Macaca mulatta: one gene and its partner. The protein of the gene in region 2 interacts with the protein of the main gene of each other region in a biochemical or structural test. Links are inferred from orthologs where the notes say so. Each region holds a gene or a part of one and is shown on either strand. Other genes may lie near its edges. The genes, in order: CASQ2 and TRDN.

Region 1 (4,572 bases), on a different chromosome or scaffold from region 2:
TTAGTGCAAGTGTGGGGTCTAGAGGATTAAGAGGACAAAATAGTTATTTTGACGATGACAAAAGTTTAAAGACGTGTTCACTCTTTCCACTCATGGACTTCTTGGAGCCATTTTTTCCCTTGATGCTGCACCTGACAAGTATCTCAACAAAGGCCTGCCCCTTCCTCACCTTCACTAATGGAGCCCAGGCCTCCGCCTCGGTTTGGACTTTTGCATAAGCAGTGCCTCCAGGCCATGTACTTCTCGGCCATGCTGGTGGTACAGCTGGCATCATCAGACCCGGGCCCAGAGGCTGAGCAACTCTGTTTAAGGAAGACTCTTGAAACCGTCTTAAACAGTCTACCCAGAAGCCCTTTGGGCATTTTCGCACTGATTTCAGGAGAGGCGCAGTATAGGTATCACGTACTGCCTTCATCTGCAGTAGCTGTGTAACCTTGGACAACTTAGCCTCTCTGCTTCAGTTTCCCCATCTATCAAATGGAATTGGTAACTGTACCTACTTAATAGAATAAGGATTAAGCAAGCTAACACATACCAAGTGCTTAGGACAGTCCCTGTACTTAGTAAGCATTTAATTAACATTATTATTATTTAATCATTTCTTAAGCCTGCATGATAGTTATTATTTTTCTATATTTATAGATAAGAAAATGAGGCTCTGAGAAATTACGTAATTTGCCCTGCGTCCTATGCCTAGTAGAGACAAAGCCAGAACTTAAATCCGGATATCCTGATTTCAAGTTCTGTGTTCTTTTTCTCCTAATGATGCCTCACTCCAGCTTTAGCAGCCTAGGGGCATCAAATTAACTCCTGTCGTGAACTTTTCCTTATCGGTCTCTGCTGGGCTGGCACCCAACTGTGGAAAGGGCACTCTTGGATCAAAGGTGTCTGGAGGGATGGTAAGCCCAGGGGAAGTTCCTGTTCATGATTTTGCATAGTCTTTGGGGACATATATACTTGGGGGAGCTAGAGATAGATAGATAGATAGATAGATAGATAGATAGATAGATAGATAGATAGATAGACAGATAGATGATAGAAAGAGATTTCTTTTTAAAAAATTAGAATCAGAAATGAATGTCCTTGACTGTACTGGCCAACCAAAGGCAATCTTTTGGAGTTCTAGGCTAACTGGACAGCAATGAGCATATAGGGGAGAATCCTTATGCCTTCTATTAAGTTTTCATAACAATGTCTCTTGATAACTGAGTATGGCAGTTTGAAATGGAGATACAATGTAAGTGTTGGTTTCATGGGCTAAGCAGCAGCTAAGTTCTATGTCCTGTTCTTTTCCAGCCTTTGATTTGCTCATTTCTATAGAATAAAGTCTTAATAACTATCCCTGCTTTCTCTTTTCTTGCAACCCACAGAGAGAACTGAACTTCCACATTCAGCACTCAAGGTTGGAAATATATTTTTGATGTATTTGGGATAGTTTTGCTGGATTTTATGACAGTCAATGTTTCAATTGGAAAAAATTCAAATCCACATGGGTTTTATACGATAATTCTGTTAATCAAACTGTTTCATCAACCTGAGTTCTCTGATTGCACTGGTTAATAAACTGTAATTCTCAAATATCCTTTTCACAGGTTTGCGCCTGGGCTAGGCATGGGGACTGATGAGGCATCTTGGTGCCCACTAGCATTCTTGGCACCCTCAGGCACTCTTAAAGTATAAGCCATCTTAAGCTGTCCAGGAGGAGCTGCAGGAATAGTTTCTGGGGCACTCGCAAAGGATTAGAAAATGGGCCCCAGTGCCAGGTTACAAACAGGCAGGCCATGTAATGCGGATAAAATAAGAACTGACTTCAGCTCTGCCCTAAAGTCACACCAACAACTTTCTGAGGAAAAAAAAAAAAATCACATAAATGAATATGCCGCTCAGAAAATCTGCACACAACTACATTCTGTAATGCTGACTGACAGCAAATCACAAGAGAGGAGAGTCATTTAGTGATATTTTCCATCTGACCCCCAGAGAGAGGCAAGGTCAAGTAACTCTGGTCTCTCCAGGATCACAGGGAGATTTGAGGGAGCAGAGTGGGCACACTGAGTGACATCCACAAGTAGTCCCTGGATTTCATTTCAGCCAACCGTTTTAACAACAGTTTCTGCATTCTATCTGGGAAACAGTGACTGGGACAAGGGCCCTTGAAAAGTCAAGGGGGCCATAGAGACTTTACATCAGACCCATCATAGTGTAGCACGTTTGGTCCTCTTCATTTGAAGAGTTAGGACCCACCCCTCATTGTTCACACACCCCAGCTGTGCAACAAGGGCATCTGATTCACATGAGGCCAAAATAAAGCAGACCTCAGTATATATTCTCTGCATCCTCGTTCCCATATCCCAACCCCTGGCCAAAGGCATTCCCTCAGCACCTCACTGAGGCAGCGCGGACAGCACGCCCTTTGATTACTTACCTCAAGCACGATTTCTTTCAGTTGGAACTGTTTTTGCGCGACCTTATCTGAAGACACCGGCTCGTGGTAGTAGAGGCAGAGCAAGTCATATTTCTTTAAAACCTGCTTGAAGTTCTTCTCGGAAAGACTTACCACTCGGTCCTTCCCATCATATGTGGGGAAATTAAGCCCCTCTTCTGCCCTGCAAGAGGACAGAAAATAAACCCCCACAATAAACAAGTGAGTTCTCTTCATTTGGAAAAATTTTTGTTTCTTGTTCCCAAATAAGCCGTGTGCAGAAGAAAGGACAGAAGACTATTAGAGGCCTTGTTGAGCCAAGCAGGGAGCAGACAGGCTGATTTTGTCTCTCTTCTTTGCCCTTCCTGGGGCGGAGAAGTGACTCTTCACCTCCTTGGGTCCAGCCAGCTCTGGAATCGTGGGCTCAGGACAAAGAGCAGAGGCGCACACACTCACTCACACACACACACACACACGCACGCGCGAGAGTAGAAAAACAGCCAAGCTAGGGAGGCTGGGAGGCCAAGCCCCAGATACCTTACATAGCTCTGCTCAGCCTCTGTCTCATTAGGAACTCCATTTTTAGGATGCAGTTGTTTCAGGCTAAAAATAAATCATGCAATGAATAAAAAAGTTAGATACGACACTGTAGAGGGATTCGCTGATACAGTCTGTCCGAATGGCGAAGAGGGAAGAGGCAGGAGGAAAAAGACAAGAATGTGCACGCATGAAATAAGGAGGCTAGAAAGGTCAAAGAAGAGAAAGAAACTCGAGAGGGAGAGAGATAAGGGACTATGATGCCAATAAGCAAATGAGGAGTTCAAACATACAGAATGACACTCATGCATTACTGAATTGTTCAATCACTCCAGGGAGGTAACTCAGCCTGTGGTTGCTCACCCTCTGTTCCTCACTGCAACATGAAACAAAACGGAGCCCCAAGGTAGACTTCCTCATGTTCTACTCCTGTTTTTTTCTGCCTTCCATCCTCTCTTCTTAAAAATCCTCTGCCAGCCACTGGCGAGGGGTGCAGGGACACCCTGCTGAACCCAGCTGACACCAGAAGAATCTGTCCTCATTAGAATAAAATGAAACAAGGTTCACAGCTCAAATCCCTACTCAGCCTTTTAACAGCTAATGAACTTTGGAGGGTCACTTGCCCCCTCTGATGATCAGTTCCCCTCTATGTAAAGTGGGGATGATAATAACCATAAAGTTTAAAACACATAGATGAACAAGCATGGCACAAAATAGGTGCTCAAAAATGGTAGCTATTGTACTTCCTTCTCACTGGAGCTGGTGGAACATTGGTTATATAATGGATATTTGTCTGTTTCTAATATGAATGGTTTGTGAACCCTTTCTTGTCCATTTTCTCCTTGAATCCAGTAGGCAACTGGGGCAGAAGTGATCAGGGCTCATCCCACCACTGAGCTAACAGCAACTTGTCTGAGTTTGCAGCGTTTCTAACTGCCAGAGCAAGAATTCCACCCTGCCTCAAAGCTGCTGCTCCTGGTTGTCTTGCCTCTGACTCTGGGTGATTCCCTTGCAAACACCCCTTTTCTTAAGTACCTTCTTGAGCATCTCTTCCAGTCCAACCCTAGTCCAGTCATGTCTCTCCATTCTTCAAAGGCATCTAGGGCACTCATGATTCTGACCAAGTTTCTGTTCTCCTTCAGTTATAAATCAGCTTTGAAAAGACAGAGTACTCTGTCACACACAGCTTTTGCAGGCGTTAGAGGGCAAAGAGAAGATCTGTGGCCTCTATGAGTAAGGCAAGGCTCCCCTGCAGTCAGAGGGCCTTACATTGAGAGTCAGGCTGATGAGGGGTTGTCTTGATGCTACACTTTCATGTGCAGGAAGTTGGGGCCTTGAAGAACCCATCACTAAAACCCTTGACAGCCTTCCATTCTTTCTAATGGTGTAGTCTCTAAGTTTTCAAAAGATGGAGCCAAGAATATCCATGCTAAGGTGCACTTAGCTTTCCAAGTCAGTGGCAAGCATGCAAGATCTCTGCTTTCTTTAGGAAATTTAAGGGGGAAAAGATTTCTGAGTGAAACAATGTGTGTCTTGTCTTTTTGAGGTCAGCCTCCCCAAACTGTTCCCAGTTGTCTTGATCTCACTGGGTTACCTTTATTTAGAATTTGCTC
Region 2 (4,462 bases):
CCCAGGAGTTTGAGACTGCAGTGAGCTATGATCATGCCACTGCATTCTAATATGGGTGACAGAGAAACTCTGCTCTAAAATAAATATATAAATAAATAAATAAATAAATAAATAAGTGGTTGAGAAAGAAATATAGCAGATGAGACAAAATAAGACTATTCCAGGCTCAGAAAATAGCCTGTACCAAGGCATTGTACAAAGGTATACCTTTTATAAAGGACTGGAGGAAGGCAATTGTAGCTAGGGCACAGAAAGTGAGAATTGCCAAGGTAACATGAAACTGTGTAGTAAAACAGTGTGCAAAAAACTTTGGATATCCTCAAAGAATGACTGTGCTACCTTAAAAGATAACTTCATTTGAGTTGACAGTCTAATTTTCATTTGAGAAATATTATTAATAAATCACTCCAGAAAATGAAAAAAAGTACATAATTGATGTTTAGATAATATAGATCCTATGAACTGTTAAGACCCGGAAGTGGAAAATGACCATCACCCAGGAATTAGATGGTATTTCTACTTTTTAATTTTATTACTAATTCAATTACTTTTATGGGTGATTCCAGAAGGTCTTCTAAGGCCCTTTTAAACCCCTGCAGAGTGGAGGCAGAAACAAAAGTTCTATTTCATAATCACGAATTTTCCTGTAAAAAGTCTTTTGAATCAACTGCAAGTTCTACAGAACATAAGCCACAAACAAGCCCAAGATGGTTTAGTCAACCGACCTCCTGAATCACCTGGGAGCCCAAACACTGAGCAGAGGTAGAGAAACAGAAGATTAAGACACTCATAGCTATCTTAATAACTTGTGCAGAGCTAAGCAATAAGTTTTTATAGATAGCTTTCTTTAAGGCAAACTAAAAGCAACATGACACAGAATATTTAAGGAATAGGAAAAATGCTATTTATATTTAGTTAGCAAATTCTGAACTAAAATTGGTAAAGAGTAAACCTGATATCCTCTCACAGAAAAGAAAACACACACACACACACAAATGAGATTTAAAGGGGCTGGCTTTAAATGTTAGTAATGCTATAGTCTTGAGCGAGTCACAGAACATGTTAGCTACAGTTCCTTTTTCTGCCAAACTGAGATAATAATGCCTCCTTAATTGAATTGTGTCAGTTTTAAATAAGTAAACACCCATAACATTCTGAGCAAAATACCTAACACGCAGAATTCTCTCAGTAATTGTTATTAATTTGGGGTGTCAGACTGAATTTCTCAATGTAAGGTACAAATAAGGCAATTCTTACAAATATTGACTGAAAATCTCCAACAGAAATTACTGTGTGTCGATACTGATTTCTACCCTCAAAATAAAAACACATATTCTATAGTTCAGTTGTATTATTCAAAGCAAACCAGCACAGCATTTAACTTGGAAGTTGTTAAGAGCACCACCTGTCTGAGTTTCTTACAGCTGTCAGAAGCAAATTTTAGATCCACCTCCAAAATTTTACCTCAACTAGAACCAGACTGTGACTGTATTCAGAGTAATTTAGTTTTGAAGGGCTTCTTCATTCTAAGAAATATGTACATATATATATATATATGAAGCATATATGGAATATAAATATATATAACTAGCAACCATCAAATAGAAGATATGTATTATAATTATAGTATGTAGCTTTCAGTAAAGCATTGAAGCAGAAAATATTTATTGTAACATAAAGATAGAATTTACCATTTAGAGGAAAATGAAGAATGAATTTATGAAAAGAACCAGAATTCTAAACTTAATTACTTTATTTTAAAAATCATATTGATGCACAGTAAGTTTGTGGAATTCCAATCTTTATCTCTGAATTTCCATTAACGGTCAAATAAACACAAATTTTGTGAGACCACTTATGTCTTAAATTGTATATAAATCATATATATGTGTGTGTGTTTTACATACCCTAGTAGGAAAGGAAAAACAAACTTAAGGTCTCCATTTAAAAATATCATAAAGTAAAAATGCTTCAAATTACTTTTTAAGTTTAAGTAAGCATTACTGTAATATTTCAAGTTCATCATGGTCTCCATCCTTGAAAACTTTGTAATTTTTGCTGGATAAGATATCATCCATCATGTTACATGACCATAGCTATTTATAGAGGTGTGAGTAACAACTGTTATCTAGTGGGGCCTTTGGTATAGCAGAGAATAGTTTCCACATGCAAAATTTAAGAGAAATCTCTTTTTGCTCCCCCAATATACAGATCTGGCAGCCTCTCAGCTCCTAAATCCACTTCTCAGATCCTGTATAGAATCATTGACCACGACAATTACCTTAAAGCAACGTTTTAAATGGACACATCAACAGTCCATGTGGCTGTCAATTTGCATATTTTTTTTCCTTACTTGATACTATTGGAAAATGGTAGCAATACCTTCAGCAGTGATCTCAGTCATGGTGGTCGTCAAAAGTAAATGTCAGTTGAAAAGTTCCCGTCAAGTAGCACTTTGCAGACTATTTGGGGATTTGAGAACTCTGGTAGAGGGTTCTGTGTCAAAACCTGGGGGCTCTTCTTTTTCCTGGCTGTTTCTGCTGCTTCTTTGTTGTCCTGTTGAACTTTGCCTCTCCTCTGCAGAGTTCTCCCCCTGGAATCAACCTAAGCCCTTTCCAAGCAGCACTTGTGGCTCAGCTAGAAGTATCAGCTTCAAACAAAAATAGCCTCATCTCCCTAGGACTCTTCAGCATGTTTTTTTTTTTTTTTTTTTTTTTTTGGCACTCTAGAGGAACACACACAGAGACACACCAGCTCTCCAGCCCCAAAGAGAGACAGGCAAAAAAAAAAAAAAAAAAAAAAAGAAGAAGAAGAAGCCAAATGAACTACAAAGTACCATCTAAGCCCACACAGTTTCTCTAAGACAATTACAGATCTTGGGGTCTATGTCAGAAAACATGAAGTAAAGAGTTGAAAGTAATCTTATCCATGAGAGCTCAGATTTATTCTTAGTGCTTTTAATGGTCAGAACATTCTTCTTTCCCTTATTTGGCTTGGGGAGGGTCCCAAATGTCTACCACAGGCAAACGGGAGGGCAGTCTTAAGTAATTTTCTAAAAGTTGTGTTCCTGTTGATACAAATCCACTTAGCAAGTGCAGTTATTTTTATAGGGCTACACTTAAAATTGCAACTATTAAATCCTAAAGATTTATTTTAAAGTAGTCATACTGTAGAAGAGTAATATTTTCTGAACACTGACCAATAAGAATTACGTAATGTGAATTTATAGTGTGATACTTGAAAACCAATGGATTCATGAATTACTATGTTTTTAATTCTCTTTAATACCTAACTAAAAACTAAATATCTGCATTTATCCTTGCAATAAAAGGAAGCGAAGGTGACATAAAGTTTAGTGGTCCACAGCCAATATTTTAGTAAAATATTTCCTTATCTCAACTTAAAAAAAAAAAAGGATTATAGCAGCCACTAACAATTAACCAAATTGTCTGATTAGCATTTCACCTTCCCACTCCTAGACAGGTGTTAATGAGCAAAAAAATATTCAATAGTTGGTAGCTGGAAGGAAAAGGATAATCGAAGGGCACTGATAATCATAAACTCTAGCCAATCCGTAAATAATCAAGGGTGGGCTACACTTTTATTTTATTCTCATATTCAACCTACTACATGTTTGTAGTTTAATCTTTTAGCTTGAACTTGCTACCTTTTGTTTTCAGACCTCCTGAATTCATATGGTACTTCATAGATCATGAAGCAAAGCCATGTTTGTTATTTTTAAAATTCAGGCTCAGAAGAGTACTGCAACAGCTATTTCTGTAGGCAATTACCTCCTCCCTGTTAGTGGTTCTGTCTTTATCTGCTGCCCCCATTCCTGGCACAATAGAAAGTTGCTCATATATCAGCTGAATACATAAATTAGTAACAAATCTTAATTTACAAGGAGGAAATGATTACGTGATTGCATTCATGATTTTATTCAAATTCCTACATCTAGGACTGGGCCTAGAGCCTTTTAACTACAAGTTTGCTATCTTTCCCAAGAAGTGAGGCCTTGTTGCAGATACTATGACTTACAGGTAAAGGGGGTCACTGCAAATTAGGCCCACTAGTGGGATGAAAAGATACAAAATCCTCAAGAGCAGCTTCCCAGAGTTCTGGGTTGGTCTAAGGAGGTATCCTAGGAGAAAAGCCCTCCTCACACTGCCCCCCAAGGAATCTCCAGTAAATACTGCTGCAGTACTTCCAAGTGTTTAAAAAAACATAGCACTTCATGTCTCCATTCATCAGTTACTTTCATAATCTTTCATTGTAGTTCACTGAAGGAATGACATCTTATGTAACTCATTAAGACTTTTCATGGGTCAGATCCTAAATAAAATTAGGCTCTGGAACAGGAAAAAACTCAACTTTTCAAACTCATTTTACTTAATAAAAAGTTTGAATAAGACTCTAGAAAAGAAATACTAAATTCCTAGTATTGATGTTACTCTTAGGTTCC

The links.
Region 1: the proteins of TRDN (region 2) and CASQ2 form a complex in vitro, tested with the Homo sapiens proteins (3 studies listed by BioGRID). The link is inferred for Macaca mulatta from reciprocal best matches to the Homo sapiens genes TRDN and CASQ2.

The regions. Positions count from the first base shown.
Region 1 is NC_133406.1:124,503,372-124,507,943, reverse strand, and holds the start of CASQ2 (calsequestrin-2), read right to left. Parts: upstream 2,983-4,572; 5' UTR 2,660-2,982; coding exon 2,426-2,659; intron 1-2,425. UniProt on the Homo sapiens protein: Calsequestrin is a high-capacity, moderate affinity, calcium-binding protein and thus acts as an internal calcium store in muscle. Calcium ions are bound by clusters of acidic residues at the protein surface, especially at the interface between subunits.
Region 2 is NC_133409.1:28,630,547-28,635,008, forward strand, and holds the start of TRDN (triadin), read right to left. Parts: upstream 2,931-4,462; 5' UTR 2,405-2,930; coding exon 2,383-2,404; intron 1-2,382. UniProt on the Homo sapiens protein: Contributes to the regulation of lumenal Ca2+ release via the sarcoplasmic reticulum calcium release channels RYR1 and RYR2, a key step in triggering skeletal and heart muscle contraction.